4 linked regions of the Drosophila melanogaster genome follow. Changing the gene in region 2 together with the main gene of any one other region gives a genetic interaction. Each region holds a gene or a part of one and is shown on either strand. Other genes may lie near its edges. The genes, in order: per, dco, Vang and Fmr1.

Region 1 (9,000 bases), on a different chromosome or scaffold from region 2:
TTGGGGTCCTTTTCGGTGTCCGGCGGACTCTCCGATCCGTCCGTGGTCTTGATGAAGGACGAGTAGAAGGAGGAGAAGCTGGAGCCATCCATGTCGTCGCTATTCCCATTGCTGTCCGTGTATTTCTGTGGATGAGACCATGTTCTTCATAATGACCAATCACCAATGGACCTCATTCGTATAGCATACCTTGTTGTTGGCGGGATTGCTGCTGCTGCAGGGCGGGTCGGAGTTGTAGTCGCCCATCACGGAGGGAATGGGCGAGGAGTCCGGCACCTCCTTCTTGCAGGGATCGGATACCGCTGCACTGGAGCCCGGCTCCGTCTTGACGGATGCGCTCTGCGAGGAGGGACGCTGCACCTGGGCAGGAGTGGTGACCGAGTGGAATGCACCCGGCACCTTCTTCGTCATGGACGCCGGCGTGGTCTATGGACGAGTATGGAGTTGGAGTTGGAGTTAAGACAGTTCGGTGAGGCACCACCGGCCACTGACTTACCGTGTACACCGACTTGTTGTACGCGGATTGGGAGCCCAACGGACGTTCGGGAATCTGGAGAGCGTTGGCCATTCCCGGAAAGGGCATCGGCTGGTACATCATGGCCGTGGCCGCGGCCGCCGCCGGGTGTGTGTAGAAAAGCGAAGGATGCGGGTACATCACGCCGGCCATGTACTGCAGCGGCATGGCCTGGGCGGCCGCGGCAGCCGCCTGCTGCGAGGTGGTGGGCATGTCCGTGCCACCCTTGTGCGGATGCTTGTGCATCCGGGGAGAGCGCGTGGGACTGGTGGGCGTCAAGGAGGCGGGGATGTAGTAGAAGGTCGGGAAGAGGCCGGCGGAGGAGAAGCTGCTCTGGGCCATGGCCGTGTGCGTGGAGTGAACGGGCGGTGTGATGCCCACCGAGAACGGTGGCCAGAGGTTTATGTTTTGCGTGCAGGTGGGATAGGACGAGGGTCCTGGCGTGGAACTGCCCACGGAGGAGGACGCTCCAGCCGCTGCTGCCGCTCCTGCTCCGCCTCCGCCTCCGGCTCCACCTGGTGTCCCCGTTCCCGAGGTCGTTGTGGCTCTGCCTTCTGGTGTGCCTGCTACGCCTGTTCCGGATCCTCCTCCGCCCGCCACACCGGCTCCTCCTGATCCCACACCGCCAGTGCCGACTGCTCCGCCCGCACTTCCTGCCGCTCCCTTGATCGCATCTGTTCCCAGGGTTAGCTGCTGCTTGGGCTTGTTGGCCTCTCCCTCCCAGGAATGGGAGCCTCCTCTTTTTATCCCGTGGCCTGGACCGCTGTACTCCAGCATCTTAAGGGTGTCATTGGCGGACTTCTTGCTCTTCTCACCCGTCCGTCCGCGCGACTCGCGGTGCTTCTTCAGCATGAACTTCTCCATCTCGTCGTTGTGCTTATTGAGCAGGGATTCGGTCAGCGTGACTGGCGGTATGGCGGCGCTTCCGCCTTTGGATGAGCTGGCGGTGCCGGTTCCGGTGCCGGAATTTGTTCCATTGCCTGTTCCAGTGCCTGTGCCTGTGCCTGTACCTGTTCCCGTTCCAGTTCCTGTCCCGGTTCCAGTTCCTGTCCCGGTTCCAGTTCCAGTTCCAGTACCTGTACCTGTACCAGTGCCCGTGCCACCAGTGCCGGCAATGCTCGTATTTGTCACACTGCTCATGTGTATGTTACTGGCGGTGGTGAAGTTGCCCGAGGAGCCACTGCCCCCGCTGCCCTCGTGGACGGGACTCATCGGACCACTGGCGCCACTGACACACGTGCCGCGCGGCTCCGGCGGCTCCGTTTTGGGCGGATCGAGCTCCGCCGGCGCCGTGACCGGCTTGCTGTTGAAAAAACGCAGCAGGTTCTCGTTATAGTTTAGCTGGTTGTAGCTGGGCGGCGTCTCGGTGGAACTCTTACTGTCATAGTAGTCGTGGTGCGGCGAAATCTCGCCGAGCATCACGCTGTCCCGCTCCGAGACGGTCAACTCGTTCTCGTGCGGCAGCTCCAGCTTGAGATCCGCCCGGGACACCTCGTCCATGAGCGTTTCCATGAAGCTGGCCAGCGCCTGGCAGCGGCGGGAAACCTCCTGCTTGACCGTGTCCGACGGACGGGACACCGTCTCCGCCAGGCGCTTCACGATATCCTCCTTGATTCGCGTGTTCCGGCTCTGTGCCTCCTCCGATATCTTCAGCTTACATGTGGGCGCCGCCTCGAAGACGTTGCACTGCTTGGGTCCTGGAAGGTGAAATGACCTGTTTAGAGGATCATTGGATCACTGGGTCGGCACGCGAACTCACCCTGAAAGACGCGATGGTGTCCGACGACAAATTCCAGCTTGCGGGACCATGGATTGACGAAGCTGGTCCATTCGGTCTCCAGAAGGACGTAGCAACCGTTCTGGATGAGGAAGCGGTATGGCTTGCTGCAGAAGGAGGCGCCCGCCGTCTGACCCTTCTTCATTACCGTCTCGTAGGTCTCCTTCATGACTGAGAGGTCCTCGTGGTGGTAGAAGTCCATGATGCTGCGGCCAATCAGGTCCTGCGGCAGATAGCCCAGTGCACTGACCGCCGCGCTGTCCACGTGCGATATGATCCCGGTGGCCGTGTGGCGTATGGCGAACTTGGGGCTCTTCTGTGAGAGAATCTCGTCGGGAACTGGGGGGGGCAGAGATCGATGGTTAGATGGCTGGATGAAACCAAAACGGGCACAGATACTCACCCTTGTAGCTGCTCTTGATCGGAGTGGCGCAGATGACGAGCAGCATGTTGGTGCCATTGGAGACCATGTAGTTGTCCGGTCGCGCCTCCTCCGGAGCCTCCCTGAAGGTGAGCCCCAGGCGGAAGGGTTCGTAGCTGACGGGCCTGCCGATGACGCCGAATCCGCCGGACTTGAGTCCCCGGTAGCGACGCAGCATCACGCAGAAGGTGCTCTTGGCGTCCTTGGGCACGCTGCCCCTGGATTCCGCAATGGGTATGCCCGTGGTGATCTGACTGGCGAAGGTGGCGCGGTCCTTAAGGTGCACAAAATCGATGAAGGACCTGCCCAGCCACATGTCGCGCGGGTAGCCCAGGACATCGGTGATGCTGGGCGTCGTGTACAGGACGATGCCGTCGTGCATGGAGATGACGCAGCAGAAGCTGTCCTCCTTCACCCGCTCCCCGCGCTGCCCTGTGCCCGCCGCCGCTGCGCCCACCCCGGTCATGGACTCCAGCTTGCCCGGACCTGCCTCCCAGGTCTTGTCGAACTTGGCCAGCCCGCTGTCCAGACCGGCTGCGTGGCCCACTCCGCCGCAGCCGCCCATCGAGGGCGGGACAATGGTGACGGATAGCGGCGAGGGAATCGGAAAGCTCTGTGCCGCCTCCGACTTGGCCACGCCCTCGACTCGGTCCGCCTCCGACTCGGAGCCGGACTGATCCTCCTCCTCCTCCTGCTGCAGCTGCTCTATGGCCTGCGGCTCGCTGTGATCCTCGCCGTGCTGTTGATCCTGCAGCTCTCGGCAGATCTGCTGTTCTACGCACCCAGTGCCGCTGGGCCGCGGCTTCTCCTCGTCCCTGCCCTCTAGGCTCGTCGACGCCGAGATCAGGGTCTGCGCCTGCCCCGCCCCCTGGCCGGCGCCCTTGTTCTTCTTCTTCTTGCGCGACTTATCCTTGTTGCGCTTGATGATCATGTCGCTGCTGCTGGCCTGCGTCGAGGGCTTGCCCCCATAGCCACTGCTGCCGGAGGAGTGGCTGCCGCTCAGGCGGGATTTGGAGCTGCCACTGGAAAGGGGATGGATCGTTTAGACTACTCGCATGATTGAGCACATCAAATGGACTCACCTGCGCTGCGACTGGCTGTTGCTGCAGCTGTTCGAGTAGGCCGAGTCGGACACCTTGGTGTTGTGTGTGGACTCCGTGGACTCGCCGCCCTCCATGGTGCTTAGGTTCTCCAGCTTGCCCAGTTGGTTGACTAGTGCGAGATTCTGGAAAATCGTATGATGACCATTAGCACTTCAGTTATCCTTGATAGGACCTTGAATGGGGGTAACTAAATAACTAACTAACTGATTTCACTTCTATGATGAACCTATGTATCTATGTTTGTCCTTCCTTCGAGGAGATTCCGTGACTACTGAGTATCCGTTGAATGAATGACCAACCACTACAATGCGGATTCTATTTGCACCGGATTCATTCAGAGCAGCGCTGTTGCATCAACGTGAGTCGATTGCGTTGTGAGTAGTTTCACTTCGGCCGGGTGATGAAATGAATCACGAAATCTGTTGCGGCACCGGGCTGCGACGCGCAAACCCCCCCGATTCTCTAGAATCCAATTCAAATTCCGAATGTTGCTTCGTTACCGTCTTCACGTTGCTCGCCAATAGTATTGTGCCGCCCAGCTAACCACCAACGCTTTCTAGGATCTTCTAGGCCAAGCGAATGGATGATGGGGGGGAAACCAGGCGTTGCACGTGTTCCGACTGCCTGCCATTCATGTTCATGAATCATGGCTTGGATAACTTCTAGTCCTAATTGGCTGGAGCATTGTTGTGAAATTGTCACCTTGACTTGCACCTGCATGGTGGCCATTGATTGAATCGTATACTCTCTGCCCGGCCCAGACTCAGAACGATAGATAGAGAACAATGTCGCCCACACGGTGGTTGCCTGCAACGAGGCTTCACTGTGCTAATTAACAGCGCAGCGGGAGCGAGAGCGAGACGGCGCGACGCTGCATTCACGTGCAGTGCGATGTGCTTTTGCTCTCGCGTTGCCTCTGCCGCTCCGCCAACGGATGTCGTTATGCAGTCGCAATGCATCCCGGCTCCAGATTCGCAGATACGTACTTAGATACTTAGATACGTGTAGTGTGTAGTTCAGAACCATGTACCCTGTACCTCAGTAGAAGACACATTCTTTTCAGCAATTTTGCAATTACAAAAAAAGAACGCAGCGAAGAACTCATATTTCTCACAATGCACCACTATGTCGTAATCGGTGCATATAGCAAGCATTCAATTCGGCAAGGAGTTCGGTTTCAGCGATTGCATAAGACCCAGGTTCATTCTCTCCGATTTGGCTGAATCAACTAAACCCAAAAATACTACACAGACACACAGGCATTAGGGTGGACCCCATTCCAGGCTCTTCAGAGTTTCCATTAAAAGCAAAGATAACCAAATGGGCCAAGTAAACAAGCTGATAGTTGTTTCGACGGCCCAGAATTCAAGAAGAAAGAATTCCAAAGAAGGTGAAAAATTCCATTGGATAATACCATTTTTTTGCCCAACAAACTGGCTTCCAACCGACTGCTCAATCTGCCCAAATCCTTCAGTTTATACCCACCAAGGATTGTGTAACTCGCTGGTTAACCCAGTTCGCATCCCATATGTGGGTGAACTTTGACGCAGCAAAGCAAGAAGGCCAACTGGTCGAATCGAATCCGCCGCGATGCCTCTGGATTGCTGGATTACATTGGTCGTGCGTCATTCCGAGGATGTTAGATAATGCAGCACAGGAAGCGCGACAGACATGGATAACAGTCGCATAACCCGGGGGCAAGACATACTGGGAAAGACTGTGGGAAAATTCGGGGCACGAATGGGAACGTTGAGCTATTAATGGTGGTACTCTGTTTAGCTTGTGTAACGCGACTGCGACTGCGGCTATCCAAATCGTAGGGGTTTTAATAGACATTCCAAATTTGCCAGAAATTACTGCGCCCACGTGGCGTGTGTGCAGCAAATAAGCTGAAAATACCAAGGTGCAATGCCCAAAAGGGAACACGCTGCGTATGCGCAATATGCTCTGACCCAGATTGGATGCCGGGCATCGATTAGAGCTATGTAGCTACATATATGAATGAGTTCACTTCACGTAGGCGCAGTGTGCTGCAGTACTGCACTCCAGGTGACCGGAAGGCAAGCGGCTGCAGTGGTGCACCACGTTGCGTATGCGTATTCTGCGGCCAGAGTATGTTTGTTTGGCACTGCAAGGAAGGAAGTGGTGGGGCATTCCCGGAGCATTGTTCGGTAGGGTCAGGTATTTTGATGTGGGCTTTTGTTTACGCTTTGCTCGGTGTGCAACGTGCACTTATTAATAAACACTATATGTACATATGTGTAAGTGCGCCATTGGACGTTATGAACCGAGTTATTTATGTAAGCTGCCTGCCCAATGCGTTGTTTTGTATTGGCAATATGATAATGGTCTATCTAGCGCCTCTTGCTGAGATTTTTCTTTGCAGCTTTATTGCAACAACGTGACAATTGCACTTACACACTCGCTCTCGCTCTCACCCAGCTGCACTTTTTTGCGATTAGGCTGCGATTAGGCTGCTGCTGCCTTCTGTTTGGAATCTCACTTATGGTCTCACTTTTTGGCTGTGGCTATATGTCACTCAGCTCGATACACTTGACACTAACACTGGCACCAAAGAATAACGGTTTGTTTCTGGTCGAAATTAAAAAAAAAAAAACGAAGCTGTTTGTTTGCGTGATTCGACAGGTCGTTGTTGCGATTTATTTGGTATATGGCAATACTTTCTACTGTGCGACGAACGCGTTGTCGACCTTCTGGCTCTAAATTCGCACGAACACTAGTGCTCGCATCGCAAGCTCCGGTGTATAAGCCCCCGTGCACTCGCATTCCCAGAATTTTCTCACACTCACTCGCTGCTCTCCGCCGTCGCTGAGAATCGCTGGGAATCGCAGTCGCTCGGGAAATCGCTGGTCGGCTGAGATACTCGGACCCAAACATTAACCCTTGGGCGAAGCTTTTGCGCGAACAACAAAAGCAAGTAATTGGAATGCCAAAGACTCCCTTTTCCATAGCAAGAAACCCCATTTATAGATTGCTATAATGTTGGATATCTTTCTTTTTCATAGCTTCTATTGAATACTAGTTTCTTTTGGTTTTTATCTATGCTGTGGGATACGTTACATGGCACTGCCGATGCCAAGTGTCAATCCAAGCCCCACGCACCAACTGCAGGTTAAGGAAAGCTATGGAATCCCCTGCCTTTTTGGGGCTGCCTGGTGGGCGGCTGGCAGCACGTTTTCCGAGGGGTGTTTTCCGGGGAGCCGGCTGGGCGGCGGATTTGCTGGCCAAGTCACGCAGTTCGCCACGTGAGCGGCGGCTTTTCACTGCCTACGGCTTTCTCGGACGCTTTTTGCACTCGGACCCGTCCCTGCCCCACCATGAATTGTGCGAACTCGCACTGGCACTGGCATTTCGCAACGGCATTACTCACCCACCCACCTGGTCATCGTCCAAGTGCGGCCAGCAGTGCACCAGAGCGCCAGTCCGCAGTCAACGCAGTGCATCGGTCTAGCAGCTCGGCTCTCTAGCACGGATGAAAAGTTGAAAGTGGCGCCAAGCTTTTGGGGGCTTCTGTTTCCCGTTTGTCCCGTGGAAGCTCTACCTGGGCAGGTGTGCGCGGCGTGCGCTGAAACACGTACGGAGTGGGATGATAGCGACAGCTGATTTTCCCTGGCTTTTCCGCCTCCGCCCAGCTGGCTGTTGCGCGCTGTGGCCCACAGGTGGCGTTACACATACCTGCCAGCAGGGGATTCCCCGTCTTTCCACGAGGGGTTGATGAACTCCGAGCGGTCGAGTGGTTCGGTTCGATGCTGATACTACTGCTATGCAGTTACAAATGATTATTACTTGCAATTTCTGTGCATTGAATTTGGCTTTTAGTCTTCGCAATTGAAGGGTTAAAAGTTGAGGCATCTGATAAATAGGAAATGATTTTAGCTACCCCCTCATAAAAGCATATTTTTATGGACCCCACAACTTCTTTTTTTTTCGGAGCATTTTTTATTATCCTAATCCGATCGAAGTGCCCAAGGATGTCTTTATGCCTTATCAGCCGTCCCATCGGCCTGCGGTGGCTTTGAATAATTGAATTCTATTAATTGGCGGCTTTGCCGACGTCGAGTGGGTGTGAAAATCCATTTGACCCGGCACCCACTCCACACGCAGCTCCTTTGTGGCCACGTGTGTGGTGTTTGCCCAAGCTAGCCGGAGTTTGCTGGCATTTGCTGGGGCTCGCTCTTATCTATCGCGGCCACACACGTGCCACAAAGTCACAGACGCCTGCCCGAAAATGATAAAGTGCGTTCGAATTAGCCACCAAACTGCTGCTAATTTGATTTTGATGCTGCGACTGTTGACTTGCCGCACTTCGCCACTCCCCGTCGCGTTTTGATGTGCTGTGATTTCATTTGATTGCCGCTAATCGGATTCCGGGTGGTGATTTCGGGTGAGTGTCGGTCGGACTGTGAGCGGGATTAGAGCCGAGTTCCCAAGGCCCACCCTTTCAACGTCCAAGTGGCGTAGGTCCGAGGACCTGTGGACCCATGAATATGGATTGCGATTAGAGGATGGACGTAGCACATCAGGTGGCATTACTGGCACCACAATTCCGTCCCAGCGTTGAACTGTAAGCACAAACGGAGATACAAGCTCAAGTGAAATTACTTCAGCACTTGACTACTTTCTGATGAGATAGATGTCTGTAAAAAAATTATATCAATGTAATGAACAGTTTAAATTAATATCAGAAATATAGTGTCATATTCTCCAAACTAGGTTTCCTTGGGAAGTCTCGTTTAGAGCTGCTCGGTTGGCAACTTATGAAGGAATATAACAGATACGGGGCTCAGATCAGGTGGACTTGAAGCAGACCTTTAAACGAAGTCCTTGGCCTTGGAGCACCTACAGATTGCACTGAATGGTCTCGCTATCCTCAAAATGTCCACATTAGAATTCAGCTGCCCCGCTGAACTGAAGTAACGTCGCTGTGCCCGGAATATTCCCGGCCAAGTAAATGCCCGGGCCGCACCAACCCCAAATTCCTCTGACTTAGCACTTAACTCCGCCCTTCGGAGTCTGCGCATTGCGTACTCCCAAGTCCGCTAACTCTTCCCTAGTCCACCAACAAATTCTGCGTTAATTAATTAGAAAAAATCACAGTTTAAGGCGTGAAAAAATCGGAGATGGCCCGTTGTAGGACGACGAAGGCGTTGAAATTTCAACGCCT
Region 2 (8,753 bases):
AAAAGGGCACTGCAAAAAAATGAGTGATTAAAGTTTTTCAAATATTATTCAAAACCAGTACCAGAGGCAGCTAAGTCTGTCGTCTGATTCGTATTTTTATTTAAAGAATAATATCAAAAACAAGTTTATATTGCGTGTTAAAAAAAAATACAACAAAATTAGGAAATAAATTGTCTTAGTATCCCAATAATGTGGCATACTTTTTTACAGTGTTCTTTGAATGGATCATTTACATACACGCGTCTCGCTCGGTTTTTATTGCTTCGCACCTACATATTTGGTTTACTTTTTTCGTTATTTATTTGTTGGTAGTTGACCATCGGTCGAAATAACGACGATTTTCATTCGTCGGCGATCGCACGTCTTTGCGTGTGTGAGTGGGAAAGATATGCTTTGAATTAGTGTGTGTGTGTGAGCGGTTAAACGAGTTGTTTTCTCGTTTTACTTGTTGTATCTTCAATTGCCTCGTTGGATTGCTTTGTTTTCTCTTTTTCCCAGCCAATGGGAGACAAAGGCGGGTTTTTACGAAGATCTTGAACGATTCACCAATAAATTGAAAATGGAGATTTCTATAGTTGCATAAAAAAAATGCATTCTGGCTAATGTATATAAATACAGCAATGGAAAATTAAAATCGTAGGCAAGTGCAATTAATGTGATTTATTTTGTCTATATTTCATTTTAAATTGCCAGCCCCAATATCGAATCGTTACACTCTTTTCACCCCTTTTTTTGTTATCATTTTCGAGTGATTGCTTATCTACCCTACCCCCACTTAAAAAGAAACACACCTTGGCACATACTCCCAAAAAAAAAAAAACACATTTTCTCATATATGCATACATAACTGGATCTGCTTCCTTTTTTTATGTCATCGTTTCTTGGGTTACACAGCCGGAAAATGCACGATGTGAGGGTAAATGGGGAAAGCGGTTGGGCGGACTAATGGAATTCACACGTGTTTTGCTTTATTCGTATTGCTGCAATAAAAGTATACGTTTCAGGTATTTCGATACATCTGTGTAACATCAAAATTGGCATGCTACCTATAACTGCAAGACATGCCAATGAAATCCATTTTCAATTTCTATTTACACGAGAATTTGGAGCACAAGCCTGTAAAAAGAGTTAACAACTTTTCTTAAGAACATTGCAAATTAAGACATAAATTTTATTTACATATTATTGAGTTATCAAATTTGTATATTAGTATAAATATCATTTCAGAATGATTTTTTTTTTTTTGTATTGTTTATTGTATTCTCTTTGAAAATAAAATTAAGCAGATGGGCCTTTGAATGCATAATTCAAAAACTTTCAATAACTTTAGATATTTTCAATTGCATTTCTGAAATAAGGCGCCACCTTTTGTTTCGGGCGCCACCTGGATACCACTTTCGCCAACTCATCCGCTAGGTGGCGCAGCTCAAAAATATTTTTCGTCCATCTGGCAGCACTGGGTCTATGTAAGAACTAGTGTGCCCATATAACAAAAACAGCGTTGTCAACTTGGCTATTTCACAGCTTTCCAGTTACTCGAACTTTGAACTTATGGCTAGCTGCAAGGATATAATTTCGTTTTTCTTTTGATTTTCCAATACTCTTGCGCTATTTTCTTAATGTGGTACTTCGAAACCAACTTTGGACTATCTTAACTTAGTATATGAATCACAGTTTTTCACAATTACATATCTTCTAGACATTCGCTGAGGAGTAAATACCAGATGGTAATTTTCTTCATTATCGGCGCGGTCACACTGCGAATATCAAGATGGCGTAAATTTGTAAAAAATCGTCGAAATCTATGTGAAATAGCCAGAAAAATTGAAACGAAAGCGCAGCGTTGATGCAAAACGTAAGTGGTCAGTAGCGTTTCGGATCGACAGACCCGTTTGCGAGCGAAAAAGCGGCGGTTACCACGCGCAGGAAAACTCGAATTTCCCAACAGCATTTCAGTGCTCATTGAGAGTGCGAGTGTGTGAGTGAGTGCCCTCGTCTTTGTGTTGGTGTGAAAATGCTGAAGCAGGAGGGATAGCAACGTGCTCGCGGTAGAAACCGTGCGAGTGCGGGCGGGACGACTAGTGTGCACGAATCTATTGCCAGGGCAAACGACTCGCATAAGTTTGGTTTTTTTAATAAGAGTCCGAGTTCCGTTTGGTTTCGTTTAATTTTCTCGAGTTGATTGGCAACAAGATGCTAATCAATGTGGCCATAAAATCAGAGAAGAACAGCATAACCGACTCGAAGATAAACGATAAAAATAACTGAAATATGGCAGCAATGCAGTATTATTAAAATTATTGCATAAAATGCGCTTGCGTGTGGCCCCAAAAAGTGCGACTGTGTGCGTGTGTTTGTGTGCGACTGTGGCAACTACAACAAAAACAACGTCTGGGCTCTAAAACAAAGAAAATGAAAATTATTGTGGCAGAATCAATCCAATTAAAAAATTCGATTTCGATTTCAGTCGAATTAGAAGAAGGAAAAGCAGCGTCGCCAGCAGAGGAAGTGGGCAAAGCGGAATAGGAAACAAGGAATATAAGAAAAACAAGCCACGGTAAGTGCGGAATTTGTTCCACTGTGCGTTCAAGTTTCCCTTCTCCACCCGCTATCGGCTGCTCCTTATCAGCCCCGTTATTCGCAGTGCATTCGTGGAGTGCCGTTAGTTTTCGGAGGCCATTAGCGTTTGACAATTAATTGCAAGTTTCCTTCCCCTTCTGAGGTTTCCCCGTTGGTTTTGCTCTGGTTTTTGGTTTTTCCATTTGCTCTTCCCTGTTTACTTAAGCTTTTTACTTTTGTGGCGCCTGCTGGAACAACTGTTTTTTGTATCTTCTTTGTTCTCCAGTGCGTTTTTTTGCGGAAGCTTTTCGGCAGCCGCCAACGCAACGTGCAGCTGTTTTGCAATTGTAATCAATTCGTGTTTACCCGCTGGTCCGAAACAACTGCTGGATACCCTGGGAAATATTTAGTTACCAATAGGAAAGACCGCGTTTTCCCTGCTAGCCTTCCAGTAAACAAATTAAAGCTCCTAAAATTAATACCACATTTCAATTTGACTTACAGTGCTTATACAGTGATTTCTTTCTGTGTAGAACATGGGAGATACAAATAAAAAACGGTACATTTCGGTTAAATAAATCAAAGCCAAGGCGAAAACAACAACAAACACAGGCAGGTTTTGAGGTTAGAACCGCAGAGTGAGTGATAAAGAGTCGGGAAAAGGAGGAGAGAGAGAGAGAGAGAAAGAGAGAGAGCGATCGAAATGCGTGAGCGGTAAAAGAAAGCGCACAGAATGTGGGAAAGAGGAGTGGGAAGGGGTTAGTGAGTGAGAGCCGCCGAAAACAATTAAACTAAATTTTTGTGATATTTGACCGGCAAGTGAAAACTTTCGGCTTGTTGCTTCGTTTTCTGACTTCCATGCGCTTTATCTTCGCTATTTGTTTGTGCTTTCCACCACTGAAAGTGTCATTTAAGTGGCATTTTCACAGTCGCTGCGTTTTATTTTACTTCTCTCCCTTTTGTCGCCGATTGTTTACTCCACGCATACACAAACACACGTCTCTTTTATCTATTTGTTGTTAATCTCTTCGTTGTCTTTTCCTGATTGCTGATTCACCTCCATGTTTCTGGTGTCGTCACGTAAAAAATACACTTGAAAAAAAGAATTATATCTATTCAAGGATGTAAAAGCACTACGGCACATTTGCTTTATTTTATAATAGTACAATATAATATTAAAATGACTAAAACAATAATGTGACGAATGTCAAAAAGTAGTGCTATTTTGCTCTGTGCATATAAATTATCGTTACTCATCACTTATTAAATCTGTTGTTTTCCCCATTCGTAATCAATACACACAGCCGAATGCAATGACGCACTCACTCTTAAATATAAATATACGAGATAAACTTTTACTTTGTGCGAGGTTCGGGTTCTTATCATTTTTGCCCACTGTGCATTTGCATTTCGAATTGCTTTTGGTACGCTTTTCTCTGCTATTTTTGTGTTGTCAACGTAAGCCAAGCTTACTTCTCTCCCGCTCTCTCTCTCTTGTTTTATTCTTAGCTAACGGTTTTCTATTTTCGATATCGATTGTTGCCGTGCGTTGTTTTCATGTCTGTGTGCCACAATCCTTATCACCACAAACAAAAGCGAATTCTGCACGTTTTTCGGGCTTACGCTGCAGATGCGATAAAAACAGGGGATTACTCTCTATATATAAGTGATCGCGAGACGGGTCGAATTTCGATTAACCATGTTGAGGATCTAAAAAAAAATTAACTTAGTACCTCCTATTACAGAACCCTTCGAATACAAAGCCATAAGCGACTGCCTTGAACAAATCGGAACAAGAAGAAGAAAGGAGCTCAGACGAAAGGACAGTGCCAGGTGAGAAAAGTGGAGAAGTGTTGGAAAATACTCACGAAGCTCCGTTAGCTCTCAAAATTAGACTTTTAGCAAACTGTACAAAACAGCAGGGTTGTCATCACGTGTCACAATATAGTGTCAGAAGAATCAAAAGTTGTAGCAAACAAAATCCGACGAATATTTTATCACTATCGCTAACAAGGCGTTCGATATTGTGTTGTTGCTTGCAAATAATCTCTTCTAATAATATCACACATTGTTGCTAGTGGTCAATAGCCGAATTTTCGAAGTCACTTGATTCATATTTACTCGTAAAAACCTGTGACGCCGCTGCTATTTCTATGATTAGTCAAAGCAACTAAGAATACTACGAATATTTACATTCTGATCGAATTCAACAATTTGCCTGCATCGTAGCAACCTTTCAATATCCTTTCGCGATTACAAAGTAAAAGTTTTAGTCCTTGGCGTAGATATTTAAATCTGTATAATATTTTAAGCGCAGCTAATCTGAACTGGGATCGATCAATTCGTGTAGCGTGTAGTATTATGAGTAAGAAAAGCGTACAGCCTTCTTTTCGAGGCAATGTGTTGTAAAATTAAAACTAAATTTCAATTCTCCGGTCCCGCAGAAAGGCAACGCAAATCCGAGGAACCCGAGGAGTCCGAACTCTACCACACAGAAACCCACAGAAACAGACGTAACAAAATGGAGCTGCGCGTGGGTAACAAATATCGCCTGGGCCGCAAGATAGGATCGGGATCGTTCGGCGACATCTACCTGGGCACCACGATCAACACTGGCGAGGAGGTGGCCATCAAGCTGGAGTGCATCCGCACCAAACACCCCCAGCTGCACATCGAGTCAAAGTTCTACAAGACGATGCAGGGTGGCATAGGCATACCCCGCATAATCTGGTGCGGCAGCGAGGGCGACTACAATGTGATGGTGATGGAGCTACTCGGACCCTCGCTGGAGGACCTCTTCAACTTTTGTTCACGCCGCTTTTCGTTGAAGACGGTTCTGCTGCTGGCGGACCAGATGATCTCCCGCATCGATTACATACACTCGCGGGACTTCATCCATCGCGACATCAAGCCGGATAACTTCCTCATGGGTCTTGGCAAAAAGGGCAACCTGGTGTACATCATTGACTTTGGCCTGGCCAAGAAATTCCGCGATGCCCGGTCGCTGAAGCACATTCCCTATCGGGAAAACAAGAACCTCACGGGCACTGCCCGCTATGCCTCCATCAACACACATTTGGGCATTGAGCAATCGCGTCGTGACGACCTGGAGTCCCTGGGCTACGTCCTAATGTACTTCAATCTGGGCGCCTTGCCCTGGCAGGGCTTAAAGGCAGCCAACAAGAGGCAAAAGTACGAGAGGATCTCGGAGAAGAAGCTGTCCACCTCGATTGTGGTGCTGTGCAAGGGCTTCCCCAGCGAGTTCGTCAACTATCTGAACTTCTGTCGCCAGATGCATTTCGACCAGCGTCCCGATTACTGCCACCTGCGCAAACTCTTCCGCAACTTGTTCCACCGTTTGGGCTTCACTTACGACTATGTGTTTGACTGGAACCTGCTTAAGTTTGGCGGACCTCGCAATCCCCAGGCGATTCAGCAGGCGCAGGACGGAGCGGACGGCCAGGCGGGTCATGATGCGGTGGCCGCAGCAGCGGCGGTGGCAGCAGCGGCAGCCGCCTCCTCGCATCAACAACAGCAGCACAAGGTCAATGCGGCGCTGGGTGGCGGAGGAGGCAGTGCAGCGCAACAGCAACTCCAGGGCGGCCAAACGCTGGCGATGCTGGGCGGCAATGGAGGCGGTAACGGCAGCCAACTGATCGGCGGCAACGGACTCAACATGGACGACTCGATGGCGGCCACCAACTCGTCGAGACCGCCGTACGACACGCCGGAGCGTCGGCCTTCGATACGGATGCGGCAGGGAGGCGGTGGTGGCGGCGGTGGAGTGGGCGTAGGCGGTATGCCGAGCGGCGGAGGGGGCGGTGGCGTGGGGAACGCCAAATAATATTTTATCGTTTAGGTTGCGACGCTGGACACGACACAGTAGACAAACAACAACAGAACTCAACAAACTATACATGTAGTATATATAGTTATATATACCTAATATATATAATACTTGCTTTATATATGCGGTAAAACACGTTGAATGTATCCAAGCGGCAGGATGACCAGGTCCCTGCCAGAAACGGAGGACAAGAGCAGTGAGAGAAGAAGAGCAGAGCATAGCAAAGCGCAGCGCTTTTCTTTTTTTGTGTGTACATTTTCGTTTGTTTTTTGACATTTTGGTTTCTGCTCCCAGATGTTAGAACGTTGAGCGCGCTTATTATTAATTAACTAGCCTATGATTAATTTAATTTATACTATTAGAACATAAACGATTGCAACCTGGCTGCAAGAAACTGCAACAAACCGCACTGTTCAATTGATTTGAGATCCCTGCCTGAAGATTGGCCAATAGATCGGCGGTTGATTAGGGGTCCGCGGAAGGGTTTGGGAGGAGGGTTAGCAGGACACGCAGGCATTTAATTCTGTTTTGCATTTGACTATTTGCTCTTGGCCGGCTCAACTTTTTCTTTGTTAACTTGAAGTCCCAGACCAAATCAGGCAGAACATGCAGAACCGATCATGAACACATAATAACTCGATTGTAAGTGTAATATTTGTGTAAAAGAAACAAAGGACACCGCGTTCAGCGAGTGTCCCTAACCCTAGACTATAGGCTCTAGCTCTAGCGAATCCAATCCATACAAAAGCATATGCCACACAGCAAGGCACCCACATTGTAACCTAAGTTGATGGTAAAATGATTGCGATTACCACGTGCAGTTCTCTAGCTTTAAGCAACGCTCTGACTTATAAGGCCCTCCTATGTTATATTATGTAACCTTCTGTACCGCCTACTCCCCTATCTATATATATATATTTATATATATATATATATATATATATATATATATATATATATATATATATATATATATATATATATACTTTCGTGGTCTGCACTTTGCTGCCTGTGTTCATATATATCTTTCCGATTTTTAAACACTTAAGCGCGCATTTCCCGAGCGGTGGGCAAATGGGATGCGAGATGTGGGAGCTGGGAGTTGGGGCAGCCCTTTGTTTACGCAACAAAATCATGTAACTAAGATAGAGAGCATATAAATTGCGTTAGACATACACAACAAAACAATTGCATTAACGTTTCGATTTAACAATGTAAGTAATGGCCCTGCGGAGGAAAGTTACACAACGCTAGCTAATAAACTATAGCTATAATATGAAATTTGTTTATAAGTAATACCAAACCGTAAAATAAAAAAGGAAAATGCAAAAAAAAAACTTAAATTCTAAATGCGCCAAGAGATAATGAATGGGTAAAAATATGAATATACATTAATATAAACTATATCTTATGAGAACACGTAAACATGTAAACCCCACAGCGATCGGCTGGCTAAGAACTAACAAATCAAAGAAATGCAAAACACAAATCGGATCACTGAACGCAGAAGCCACTAAAACTTAAATAAAAGTACATTACGTGATATTTCTTACAAATTGTTTTGTTTTCTAATCGGTTTGTTTCAGTCATTTTACTTTTATTTTTCGAACACAACTCCATTCGAAGCGCACGCCTTGCAAACGACCAACCTTGTAAACACGACCATATAGCGCATTCAGATTAGGGGATCCGCGACCGTGGAGAAGCCCCAATCCTCCTCCCCAAACCGAGAATTGAGAACCTAGTGATGAGTGTACATAAGAATAATATCCGAACCCCAAAAGTATAAAATTAAAATATATACATATGTGTGATTTTCCTCCTAGCATACAGAGTACTAAACCTAAACCATTAGCATTTTATTGATAGAAAAGAAACGAAATCGAAGCCCGACAAACTGATTCATAGCGATTATGAGCCACTAGAAATGGAGAACTAAATGATCTTGTATGAGCGAGCAGTCCATTCAGCATAAGCGAAATAGAGAAACTAACAAATTGAGAACATAGTAATTTCGAAGGTTTTGTATAATTAACTGTATATGTATATTGAGAATAGAATTTTGAACTAATAACTAATTATACTAATTGGATCGAGTTCGAGTGTATCATGGGCGATATGAGAGAAAATCATTAAAAATAAACCACCAGTGATATGGAATACAAAATAACCACAAACGAAATCGAAATCGAAATCGAAGCGGTTCATGAAACATTTCAAAAGTACGTTGGATCGGAATTCGACGGATGTATCGATAAGTGCACGATAAGGCCACATTTATGTAATTAGCAAGTATTTCGAATTAAACCGAACATGGAATATGTATGTGTGAACAGAATAAAAGCAG
Region 3 (6,743 bases), on a different chromosome or scaffold from region 2:
TGTGCATGACACTGCAGGAGAAACTGCGCGACATCTACGAAACATATGGGTTCCACACGACTGTCAGCTCCTATGTCATATGCCGTTGCCCGCCGGTCATCGAGCAGATCTTTGAGCGCTTGCGCACCTGGGACGAGGGCAAGGCAGACACCTATCCGACCAGCATCCTTAACGGCGAGTACGAGATTGAAAACGTTCGCGATTTAACCACGGGATTCGACAGTAGCACTGGCGACAAGAAGGCCACCTTGCCGACCAGCTCCAGTTCCCAAATGATCACATTTACCTTCAAAAACGGACTCGTGGTCACTCTACGCACCAGCGGCACGGAGCCCAAGATGAAGTACTACGCCGAAATGTGTGGCAAGCCGGACGAGAAAAACTGGGCCAAGCTGACTAATACAATGAATACCATGGTGGAGGCCATTGTCGAGGAATTCTACGAGCCAAGCAAGAACGGCCTCCAGCGCAGGAAGGAATAATCCGAATGCACCTTTAAGCGGATACGCTAGGCGACTGGGACGAAAGATCTAACACGTAGACCTGTCTAAAATTGAAAGTTCTATACCAACAGCACTGACGACGCACAAGCCAAAAAACAACAGCAGCGCAAGCTGTTGCCTATTATTGTTTAAAGGATATCTGATATGTTAGTATTCCACTCACATTTGGCTAGTATTTATGAAATAATGTAAATAAAAGCGAACGCACCATCCACCACCAGGCACCAAATCATGGGTTTCCTCAGTTTGATATTTAAGTAGCTTATGAAATGAGACCATCGTGCTCACTCCACTTGAATTAATTGAGCTTATTACTCTTATCATAGAAATTCGAGAGGCATTCGAGTCTTTGTATCACAAAGAACTTGAAACTTGATTGATTGCGATTAAATCTACTCATACATTATACTTCAGTGCGATTTGGTAAACCTGCTGGGCTCAATAATCAATATAGGAACTGTTTGTTAATCCCGAGCTGATAAGGCAACTTTCAGACATTCAAAAGACCCCCAAGAATGAATTAATTACGTGCGCATTTCCACGATTTGCGTCACCTTCGAGATAGAACAATTCGTTTAAAGCTGTTAAAGAAGTGGGTTTGATTTATTTACGCATTTTGTTTTTTATGCTAGTTACAATTACAACAGTTACAGTTTGAGAGTAAATGTATGTATAAATGGTATGTATGCTTAGGTTGGTTTTCCAATTGCTTTAAGTAATTGCTAGATAATTGCAATATAAAAGAGCTTCGACAGAAGACATTTAGCTAGAAAACGAAAATGAAATCAAACCTCAAGCAAACGTTTCTAAGTAGTTTTGTAAATAGGTATATATCATATATGTATGTATATATAGATTGGGTTCACTGGAACGTACACATGTTCGAATACGAATTCGGGTCCTTATCACTATAATTTTGTCTCTAAAAATACACGAGTTTTTGTATATATGTGGTTGCTATGCACAGGCTAGTACATACACCTGCTAGTGGCTGTTGGCAATTTGTGTGTATAAAATGCATATTCAGGCAGTCTTCGCTTATATTATGTATTTGTCATCAGTTGCATTCGAGTTATAGTTGTTTCGTCGTTTCTCAACTTTGTGGCAGAAGAGTTAGGACCATTCGGTTTCGGCTTAAAATGTGCGTATGTAAAATCTTATTAAGTCGCGTCAAAAGTGGCCAATGCACTTTCGACGCAAGTCCGAGTCCTAGCTAAAATTCCATGGGCTTGCCTTGGCTCACTCCATTCCTTCTTAAGGCTAGCGATCGGGCTCACGCCTCACAGATATCGGGTAAAATTTTAGATATTCCGCGAAGAGTAAGCCCAACTTTACACTAAACATATTTACTAAAATAAAAATCGTGTATAAAAGAGCTGCATTTAAGAGTTGATATCTGAAGATCGCGGTTCGGCAAGCCAAACCATCATTCTTATAATTAATACTTTGGGAACTTGTAAGTCATGTTTGCTTATCAAAGGGTGTGATATGTTCGCGTCGGTTTAGGATGATACACTGGGCTTTTGAGCATTGTTTCTTGATATTCGGGTCATAAGTTCAAGTTTAGCACTGATAAGTACGTTGCCTTCTCATCTAATAATCATTTGTTACAAGATCAAAATTTAGCTGCTGAGGCCTGCCTAGACATTTTGTTCTCACAACAACTTTTCCTTTCTAAACTTCCATGTTTTTTTCTTTTTTTTTTTAAATTCAGGGTTTTGATCGATTTAAAAATGCTCCTCTTGTTCATTGATAAGTAATTTTGATTGCTTGGTTTGATTGGTTGTGGTGTTTCAGGCATATATAAAAATGAATTCAATTACCCTGATGGCAGTTCTCACAAGAACGTCATCGATTTGGCTGAAGTAAAGAAAATATGTGAATATGTGAATTAGTAGCTGGGAAAATCAGACAAACACATGCAAGTAGGACGATTGCGTCTGGTTGCTATGAGTGGGAGTGTTGATTGGAGGGGCGTTGTGGTGGTGTCATACGGATGTTTCGGAGTTCAACTTAAGAACAAATTTGTTGCTTTTGGGATCCACAACCTCCTCGGCCAGGTTGAAGTGCGGCAGCTTGTGTACGGTTACCATTAGGGAGACATCGTTCTGAATTAACTGGAACGTGCATTCGTTGCCAATTGGCCGAGAGACGATCTCGTCGCAGATCAGGGACCAAGACTGCACCCAGCGTCGCTCCTTCTCGCTCTGCATCACCGGAGACTCGGTCAAGTAGGGTTCCAAGAAGGCGCGGGGCGACAGATCATGCTTTAGGCAGTGCGCCAGATGTTTCAGTATGCTCTCAAAGGTATGCCGCGGCTGCTGACGCGTAACCCGTAAGTATTTTTGCAGCGCCCTGGCCATCGAGGGAAAAACCGCCGAGGCAGCCTCCTGCGGATCGAGCGGCAGTGCCGGAGCCGGTTCGTTATGAATGCGTTTGATGTGGGTGAAGGCCTCCTCGGCGGCGGTTATAAGACGGGCACGCCGTTTCTTCACACGACGTTCGTACTCGTGCTCTTCGTAAAAGCGCTCGTTATGCGAGGAGTCTCGGCGCCGCGCGTTGGCTGCTAGAACTGCTCGACTCTGGCTTTGCTGTTGCGAATTGCTCACCCCATCCACTTCGTAGTACTTGAAACTGTTTGATATCTTGTTTCGCTGCGATTTGGAGACCGATATTGGGATGCGCTCCAGGTAAGGGTTAAATATGGGGAAATCCACGTAGTAGTGCTGTAGCACCCACACAGCCGCCCGTTGGATGCTCAGCTGACCCAACATGTAGGAGCGCGAAACGCCGTCCGGGGAGCGAATGATCTTGATGTAGTAGCAAGGCTGCTGGTGTCGCAGCTCTAGTAACACCACGGCCACATAGTGAATAAATAGAAGAGTGTCCACAAAATTGGTGGCATAGCCTACCAGTGACTTGTAGTCCACGGCATCGCCGCCCGTCTCCACAACGATTTTGGCCCCGTTTGTGACCTGCACGATGTAGAAGAGCCAGTAAGCAAACGTGCAGATGGTGACGAGAAGGAGGACGAGAGCGCGATATAGGAATATCCGTGGCATGGTGGCCGATGTACGTCGCATGAACACTGCCCACAGGCCGATGGCCAGAAGCAGCAGCCGGGCGGCCAGCGATACCAGTTGGCCCTTGCACTGCTCACTGCAGGCCAGCAGCTGGGTGCGAACAGTTTGCGTTATTTCCGGATGATCGAAGGCCGACGGAAAGAAGCCCACATACGGCATCACCACCATTGCCACTGGCGAAAAAAACGCTCCGCATCCCAGCAGGAAGTAGAAGCTCGACTCCACGTATCGGCGGCACGCAAAGCTGAAGCCCTTGTCGCTCTCACGATGCCACATGTTGTTTATGTCCTCCATTGAGATGCTTTGCTCCGAGGTATTCCCCGTGACGGCGGTAGTATTCTCGCCCCAGTTCTCGTCCTGCGGAAGGATTTGCACCTCGATGACTTCCTGGCCATCGTGGCTGCCGTCTCCTGGTGCCCAAATAATAAATGGGTCAATTGGTTTCCTTCCACCGATAGAGCCATTAAACAAACTCACCTGTCATATTAACGCTGGTCTGGTACGGTGCCATGTCGCCACGTTGAAATCCCTTGGCCGACTTCGAGGAGTGTGTGCTGCGGTGGGAATGTCTGGAGCGGTCCCGCTCCCTGTGATAGCCGTTGTTGACACTGCCTCCTCCGCCACCACCTCCGCCGCCACCCCCTCCGCCGTTGTTGTTGTGATTCCGCGAGCGTCTGGAGCGTCCACTGTGTTCCGACTTGACGGATTCGTTTTCCATTGCAATTGGGCTAGCGCGCGAGAGCTATGCCCGATTCCGAATCTCCTGCTCGCGAAGAGACGTGCCCCAAATCACCTTGCAACCTGGCCGTGCAGCTATTTTAGTGTCTAACTGTAATTGCGGCGGCAGCAGGTTTTTCATACGCAGGTATGCAGGGCGCAGTGCATAGCCTATAGGCGATTTAGAGCTTTATCTGCGGCTAATTCTGCGGCACATTGTCACTATTCGTGTCTTGCATGGCTATTTCATACGCTATTTAACTATTTCTCGCACATTTTTCGCTTTTTATTCACTTTTTCGTGGACTTGGCTTCACCCCCGACGCAGTGTGACCACCGCAACACAATCAGCAGCACGGTCACATTGCATTTAGTGTTTTCAAACACTATCAGTTTGGCAATTCAACCGCCAAACTGATAGTTTAAATTTTAAAGTAAGTTTATTTTGTTGGACAATATCATGAATTTGCAATAATAGCGGAAAGTAATTGTCTGGCTCTCTGGTCAGTTGGGCTTAGCAGTATGGCGCGCTGCAACAACTTCATAGAACAGGTTTTGTCTACTGCACTAACCGCCTGACTGGCATATATAGTGGTCAGTGCCTCTTCGCTGGCCAAGATGCTAAATATAAACAAATTCAGTCTATCATAATACAATGTATATAAATTCCCAAGTCTTACCTATTTTGTTGCTTAGTGTGTCCCAGAGTAAGAGTTATTCGACCCATATTTGAAGTAGCCAGTCGATAGGATTGGTCATCAGAGAAATAATCAAGAAGAAACTTTAGCACGACACTTCGCAGACTTCGGGAATTGGGAAACATTCGTATGCGAGTCTGTAGATAGCACAACGCTCTTCGGGCACCCTCCTAAACAAAATCATAGTATTACTTTTGTAGAACCACAACATTCACCACTTTTAACGAACATTTATCAGGATGTAGTGAGCCGTTAAATAGGATATGTCGGCACAATACTCCTTCTTAAAGGCGTACGCATTCAGCTCCGTCAGTATCGTATGGATCAACGCATTATCTCTATGAAGTATACCTAGGGCAAGGGCTGAAAACAACGCCTGAATGGGGACCTCCTTCAACAAGACACTTTTGGTGATTATAACGTTAGAAATGTTGAATCAACAAAACAAATATTGCGCTACCAACCACTGATAGAGTAGGGTTTTGGTGTCCGCTTCGCCCTGAAAGTCGTAAATCATGGATGCCATAGCCACGAGGATGGTAGCTGCTTTGTCATCGCCATGATCAACCACGTTGCCGAGAACGGAGTTGTAAATAGAGTAGGATTCCTGCAACTGACCGGCTAGATAATATGCCTGGGCCAGGCCAATGATCGGCTTAAATGTGGCATGTGCAACCGTGTTTAGGGCGTGTGCCGCCTGCTCCGGCTGGTCTATTTTTAAGTACAGGTATCCCAGATTCGTGTAGAGCTTGTCACGATCCGCTCCAGGTTCGCACAACTTACACGCCCGAGTGAAGGCTTCGATTGCTTGGCGATACAGGTTTTTCCGGGCGTAGAGAAATCCCTGGAACGACAGCGATGCTGGTGTCGCATCCGTCTCCTCGTTTTGCACATACCTTAAATGTATTGCAAGTCTTTAGTTGGTTTTAGATAGGGCATTACTATAATACTTACCAATTGATGGCATCCAGCGCAAGCACATCAGCGTACATGTGTTCGATGGCATGCTTTATGCGCGGCTTGTCGAAAGATCCAGGAGTCGACAGCATTTCGCACACCCAATGCGCAAATCCAAGCGCCGCCTCCGGATGGTAATCGAACTGCTGGCAGTGACGAAACAGATCAAAGGCTTCCTCGCGATCGCCAATCAACTCCGCAACCATTGCTTGTCCAATCCAAGCGTTGGCGTACACGGGACTTGATTGCTGGGCTCTCGTAAAGGCCTCGTTGGCCAATCGGACTTCATTCAGTTTAATATAGAGAACTCCGAGATTGGTCCACGCTGTGTAGCACTTTTTTTCCAGCACTACAGCCTGAATAAAACAGTGCTGTGCCAATGGCAAGTTCTCATTTTCGGAGTTCATATTGATAACTCCGAGAAGATTCCAATTTTGCCATCTGTTGCTACACTCCTTAATGGCCATTTTGCACGCCTTAGTCGCCGTCTCTAAGTGGCCGTTTGCATCCTCGGGTATGAGAATGGCACTGTAGTAGCTGGCTAACGATAGCTCGTACCACAGGTACGTATTCTGCTTCAGTTTTAAGGCGCACAAGTAGAAGCGCTGAGCTAGCTGTAGAAGATCCTTGCGTGAAAGATATGCAATGGGTTCTTCGCGCTTGGCTAGGTTTCCAGCCACATCCAAGTTGGCCAACGAATGCGGCAACTGGGCTGTCTGAACGAAAATGTTAGCTGAGAGGCGCCATAGCCAAACCATTCCTTGAGCTTCACGCTGAAGGAAGGCG
Region 4 (5,727 bases), about 21 Mb from region 2:
GGATATTTCATACTCTCGGGCACGCTGCAACAATGCGTGTGCGAATGAGGTATAATTAATTAATCATGCTGCACTTGTTATTTATTCTTAGCATAAAGGTCTGCGGACAGGTGTTTGCATATTCTCTGGCGACAGCTGCTCCGCTGGCAGTGTGCCAACAGCCAACTAGCAACAGCAACAACCAATGTGGGGGTTTTCACAGTGAACCCACGTCCATACCCATGCTCCCATTGGCAAAAACCCATTCCTAATCCCGCCCAGAAACGCAGATCGGAAACGACACACCGTCCGACAGGATAGTGGCGCAACTAAATTTAGATCCAGCTGCTCAGCTCAAGTGGATTTCGGTGTGTCAGAAGAGATGGAAGGCAACAAAAAAAAAAGTTTTGATCCAAAAACGTCACAAGAAATGCAGCAAGCACACAAAACAGAAACAAAACACGGACATAAAACGGCAGCAATTAAAAAACGCTTAATGACCGTTGTGTTCTCTTTTGATTTTTCTATAAAAACTCATAGAAATATATTAATTAATTTTTGGATCAAACTATGGTGTTGCAGAGCATTTCAGAGTAACTTTAGGTATTTTAAAAATAGACAATAAGAACTAAATTTAAACTTTAAGACACCAAATTGTTATGCTACGTGAATAAATCAAAGTTCTCATTTCAGATACTCGGTAAATTATGAAAATTTATGAAAATAAGGTACATTTTAGTTACAAGACGTTCGGCTAGAGCGTCATAACCGAATTCAAAATGAGTAATTATAAATGGTTTCTTTCCGCGGTTAAAAATAGTCGCGCCTTTGACGCTGGCCGCCGTTTCAGCGCCGCTGCTTAGTGGCATTTGTCGTTCGCACTTGACAGCTTTGGCAGAGATGGAAGCCATCCCCTGCTCCCGCTTCTTGGGAAGATTGCCTCTGGGAATCGAGGGGAATCGGGGAACTTCCCAAGTCAGTGGGGCGGACAGTTGCGGATGGCGTTGGTCAGTCTGTCAGTCAGCAGTTTTATTTGATTTGGCTCATTTTTTTTTTCTTTTTTATCAACTAATAGCAACAGAAACTGCTGCAGCGGCGTCTGGCGTTTAACAAATTGCGCCAAATTAGTGAGTCCGCAGTAGGGGATTCGGCGGGAAGTGGTTTGGCGGATGGCGGACGACACAAATGATGCGTGCCCAGAATCTCTAATTTCTAATTCGGATGCCAAGAAGTCGCGTCGGTGGTTGTTGCTGCTCCTGCTGCAGCTCTGATTGTATTAATCGTTGCAAATTAGTTAGAAAATACGCTCTAGTTGTTGTTGTTTGCCCTGTTCGCAGATTTGTTTGTTTAAACAAACTTACCCGTCCACATCCACAAAGATGCCATCATCGGCGACAGCTGTCACCTGGCCCTGTTGTTGTTGTTGTCGTCGTCGTCGTAGTTTTTAGTTTGCAGTTGTAGTTTTTTGTTGGCGGCAGGCAGGCAGCAAACGGATGAAATACAAGAGCATTGACAGGGCCAGCATCGGAAGGCATAGGAGTAGAGAGAGAAAAATGTGTGTCATTAATGTGGCCATTGCCTATGATATACCTCCATTCGGATGTGTGTATATGCATAAGTATATAAAATATATTTTTACGATAGTCCCCCCAATCCCGTCCCATTGTGAAATCGAGAATTGCAATGGCATTAGCGAGGGAAACCGTATATCTCCGATAAGCGAGTAGTCGTAGAACCTTATCCGAAATGCAAACAGCCGACAGCTGAATCATCAGCATCAGGGAAGTCGCTCTAGTCGAGTGTGTTTATGTGCATTGCCCTTGTTTTGATTCCAAGCACTGAAATCAAAGGCAACGCTATGCAAAGTATTCACTACCTTACTATACATATCCAGAAGGTTTCCAGAATAGGTTAGCTAATGATGGGGATAAGTACTAAGAACAATAATTGAAAGTATAAGAATATTCTTAAGTGCACTGTTATCTGGTTTCCAAAATGTCTATATTATCATTGGAAAATTTAAGCCTATAAGCATACATTTTTGCTGAATTTGTTTAAACAGTGAACAATAAAACACATCAAAAGCTAGCATTATGAATGGGATTTAAGACTGAACTTCGTTCATAAGACTAATGATTCGAGATCTAACAACCTCGTATACCTGTAATCTATCCGCGAAAATCACTTAACCGCGATATAAGATGGTTTAATCGGATCTTATCTTTATAAATTGCAACGACAAGAAAGGGAAATCATCAAAACAACAAAACCGAATGCACGACGACGTCAGTGGGCAGCGCAGTGGGCGGCGCGGTCCGCGTCGACATCGACATCGACGTCGACGTCGGCACCCCCACAACGCAGTGTGCGTGAGTGCGTTGGTGTATGCAGATTGGCGATGGTGCTGGTATTAGTGTAGTAGTGGTAGTGGTAGTGGTGGTGGTGGTGGCGATGATGTCGAGACTCCACTCAAAATGTTGCTGTTTATTAATAGAAATAAAGCTAAAATCCACGAAATTAGAAACTGAGGCAGCTGCTGCCCCAACTCCTTGCTCCTCTGTTTTTCCTTCTTTTTTTTTGTCACCCCCTTACCAACATTTTTATTCCACCAATTGAATCAACTCACCTTGTAGTAGGCGCCATTGTCGAGCCGAACTTCCACGAGGAGATCTTCCATATCGCCAGACGTAGTGCCTCCTGGTTTATCCGCTTTGTTTTGGTTCTGGTTCTGGTGGTTCTTCGCCGTCCGTCCCTGTCCCTCCTGCTGCTGATGCTGATGCTGCCCAGCCTTCAACTCCCGACTTTTCCCCGTCGACTGCAGTTTGCCGCGTTATCTGGGGCTCCTGAGGGGGAAGAATGGAGATATTAGGGCTATAGATATAGCTAGGTATGGGTGGGTATGCTCACAATTCAGTGTGCAGTGGCAGAAACCTCGCGTTCCTGCTTCTAGTTCCTTGTACTCAAATCAGTCTTTTGCTTGGCGGCTGCTGCTTCAAATGTTGCCTGTAATCAATAATAATATGGAATGGTTTTGTTTTTGGTATTTTTGAATTTTTGTATCTGGAGAGGGAGACTATATATTGACACACTAATAAAAAAAATAGTTGAAGAAAATTTTGAAGTTATTTTGGGGGCCAGATAATTCCTAGCTAAACACTAAATGCAGCTGGCGGCGAAGCCGGCAGCGACGTCGGCTTTGCCGGCAGCGCAGCAGCGCAGTGCTTCCTCTTCTTCTTTGTCTCTCTCCCTTTGTGTGTGTGAGCCCGCCGCCTCACACACACATGACCACCACCAAGCGTGTGCGCTCTCGCTCTCTTTTTCTCTCTCTCTCGCCGCCGAAATGCTTCGTTCGTTCGTTCACACCGATGAACACGCTTTTCCAATAAGAATTTGTACGCACACTACGAACGGCACATGCCGAATTTACATATCGAATTTACACATAATTTCCACACTTGCTTTCGATTTTCGCTTTTCTCAAAGAGAAGAAACATCAGCGTTGCGTAGCCGCTCGCCGTTTTTCTCGTTCTCGTTCTCTACTTTTCTTTTTGTATTTTATCGGTTTTCCTCTTTCAGCTGCTCCCTTTTGCTGCCGCTGCCGGCAGAGAGGCGGCGTCGCTGCTGTCGTCGACGTCGCAGCCGCCGACGATGTGCAAAATTTTTTGGTTTTTTTCGGTTCTTGCAAAATTTTTTCAACACTTTTTGCGGCTGTAATACACAAGAGACTGCAAATTTTTGAAAACTTACTGCTGGCCGGCACTTTTGCACTTCGTTTGCCCTCGGCGGATGCCTGTGAATGCGGCTTTAACCTTTGAAAATACAAAATATATCGCGTGCAGTGCTGCTTCAATTTTTTTCGGCTGCGCTGCGTTCTCTTCGTTTTGCTTTTGCACACTTTCGCAGCTCGGCAACGTTCTACTGGAGTTGCCACCCGTTTACAATCGGCGCGCGTTACTGGCCACTTCGGATGGTTTTGGCTAGATTTCGGGCGTGTTTGGCCCAAGCGATAAATTTGTGAAAATAAGATACGAAATTTTTGATAAATGATTTGTGCTCTATAACACAGGGCTTGTTTGAAAGCGAGAGAAAAATGATCTGACAGTAAAGTGGCAAGGCTGCTAAGTGACAGCTCACCGGGCCTTGCCAGAGTGACTATAAGTTGTGGGTTCACAATAAACAGGGTTGTATTTTAAGCGCGCTAGGCGGTTACGATTCGAAATTCAAAAAGCTGATAAGATCATTTAAAATTTAAATGAAGTCGACGAACCGAACACTATTGACTGCTCACTTAGTTTGCTGTCTGCTAACAACGTAATTGAATTGCTAGCCCATCAGCAGATTGATTCGCATGTTTGGTGGCTTTTCAATTGATTCGATTCGATTTTAATTTGCAGAACTGCTGACCACTACGCCTTAATGTTAATGTAATTGTCTATGTAATTGCAACGACTGCTGGGGTCAACAGTGGGCGCAATTTGCCACATGCGGTGTTTTATTTGCCCCTTTGATTGCCCCCAAATCGCGTGACGTCGCTGGCGCTTTTTGTCAACACGCTTGTTGAATTTGCTTTTTACTATTTTTTTTTTCTTATTTTGCCCTTCCATTCATGAAACGCATTTGATTATGAGTGGCCGATAAAGGTGCAGTGCGGTCTATTTGTAATCCAATTTCCATCAATTTTCAGCGGATCGGACAGCAGAAATCTGACGGAGTACTCCATTTAGGATGAAACCACATATTTGCTTGGAACTACTTAATAAGATTTATGAATTATATTTGTGAACTTTACTCTTGATTAATAAGTGGGCAAGTCTAAAAGCTCGCCTGTATTTAAATCGCATGCCATTTAGGCATTTGTGTGGTGAAAATGGGCCAACAAATTATAAAAATTCATGGCCAGTCAGTTAATGGGAACCATTAAATCCTTTATATGCCTGTGAATAGTTGGAAATTCTGTGTCTCTGTGCAAAGGCAATACCCTCTACTCGCCATTTTCGCATTTCCCAGCCTATTTGCAGGCAGATTCCGTTAAAATCCCATAACAATTTTCCATACAGGGTATCAAGATTCGCAATTCGATAGTCATAAATTACCGCTCGTGTTGACGGTAATTACTGTCAAGCGGCGATTTGTTGCGGAAATGCAGTTTCTGATTTGATTTTCCCGCGCCCTTGCCCACCAGTTAACCACCCCTATTTCAACCGCTTTTCCACTGCCGAGGAAAATGAGAGCAGCTGCCGTTTGACATTGACTTTTGTTCTACCTTTTGGCACATTAACTGCACTTTAATGACGTCGACATGGCCAACAAAAGAGCGAAAGTTCAGCGACGACAGCCCCTCCTCCTCTCGCATCTAGCCATCTCGCTCGCACCCCAGAATTTGTCCCGCTCAATTAGCATTATGTTCGTTTCGCGATCGGATTTGAAACGATTCGGTTCGGGTGCAATTGCAGTGCAACAATTGGTCACTTCGGGCACTAAATTAATTTAAATTCTAATTTTAACCGCGTGGAGGGATCAAGTGAAATTTATTTGCCAAAATGTGACAATCTCGATCGTGACAGGTACGTCACTTCCTCTCGACGTAAAATACACTGCGAGGAATATTCGGGCAAGTAAATTTTTCAATAATAAATAAGATAATACATTCCTTATAAAAGGTGTTCACTGCATTTGTAATTATAGTAACATAAAGAATTCGCGCATAAGTGTGAATATTAATAGAAATAAAATTCAATAAGTTTAGTC

What was found.
Region 1: of dco (region 2) and per, changing one suppresses a phenotype caused by changing the other (phenotypic suppression), as found in Drosophila melanogaster (3 studies listed by BioGRID).
Region 3: of dco (region 2) and Vang, changing one enhances a phenotype caused by changing the other (phenotypic enhancement), as found in Drosophila melanogaster (one study listed by BioGRID).
Region 4: of dco (region 2) and Fmr1, changing one suppresses a phenotype caused by changing the other (phenotypic suppression), as found in Drosophila melanogaster (one study listed by BioGRID).

What each region holds. Positions count from the first base shown.
Region 1 is NC_004354.4:2,683,134-2,692,133, reverse strand, and holds the start of per (period), read right to left. Parts: upstream 6,555-9,000; 5' UTR 6,234-6,554; intron 3,938-6,233; 5' UTR 3,890-3,937; coding exon 3,795-3,889; intron 3,735-3,794; coding exon 2,695-3,734; intron 2,631-2,694; coding exon 2,274-2,630; intron 2,212-2,273; coding exon 497-2,211; intron 427-496; coding exon 190-426; intron 126-189; coding exon 1-125. UniProt on the Drosophila melanogaster protein: Essential for biological clock functions. Determines the period length of circadian and ultradian rhythms; an increase in PER dosage leads to shortened circadian rhythms and a decrease leads to lengthened circadian rhythms.
Region 2 is NT_033777.3:31,054,179-31,062,931, reverse strand, and holds the start of dco (discs overgrown), read left to right. Parts: upstream 1-1,721; 5' UTR 1,722-1,855; exon of another isoform or gene 1,856-2,467; 5' UTR 2,468-2,557; intron 2,558-4,289; exon of another isoform or gene 4,290-4,304; 5' UTR 4,305-4,392; intron 4,393-5,003; 5' UTR 5,004-5,080; coding exon 5,081-6,403; 3' UTR 6,404-8,753. UniProt on the Drosophila melanogaster protein: Serine/threonine-protein kinase which is involved in the circadian rhythm pathway, viability and planar cell polarity.
Region 3 is NT_033778.4:9,101,137-9,107,879, reverse strand, and holds Vang (Van gogh), read right to left. Parts: upstream 4,643-6,743; 5' UTR 4,305-4,642; coding exon 4,064-4,304; intron 3,997-4,063; coding exon 2,492-3,996; coding exon of another isoform or gene 2,411-2,491; 3' UTR 1,084-2,410; downstream 1-1,083. Other genes in the region: Pgm2a (phosphoglucomutase 2a), read left to right, coding at 1-482; CG8777 (uncharacterized protein), read right to left, coding at 4,761-4,923, 4,983-5,170, 5,230-5,404, 5,465-5,896, 5,955-6,743.
Region 4 is NT_033777.3:10,106,090-10,111,816, forward strand, and holds the start of Fmr1 (fragile X messenger ribonucleoprotein 1), read right to left. Parts: upstream 4,033-5,727; 5' UTR 3,727-4,032; intron 3,520-3,726; exon of another isoform or gene 3,435-3,519; intron 3,135-3,434; exon of another isoform or gene 2,983-3,134; 5' UTR 2,887-2,982; intron 2,823-2,886; 5' UTR 2,801-2,822; coding exon 2,606-2,800; intron 2,254-2,605; exon of another isoform or gene 2,141-2,253; intron 1,391-2,140; coding exon 1,341-1,390; intron 25-1,340; coding exon 1-24. UniProt on the Drosophila melanogaster protein: Polyribosome-associated RNA-binding protein that plays a role in neuronal development and synaptic plasticity through the regulation of protein synthesis of mRNAs.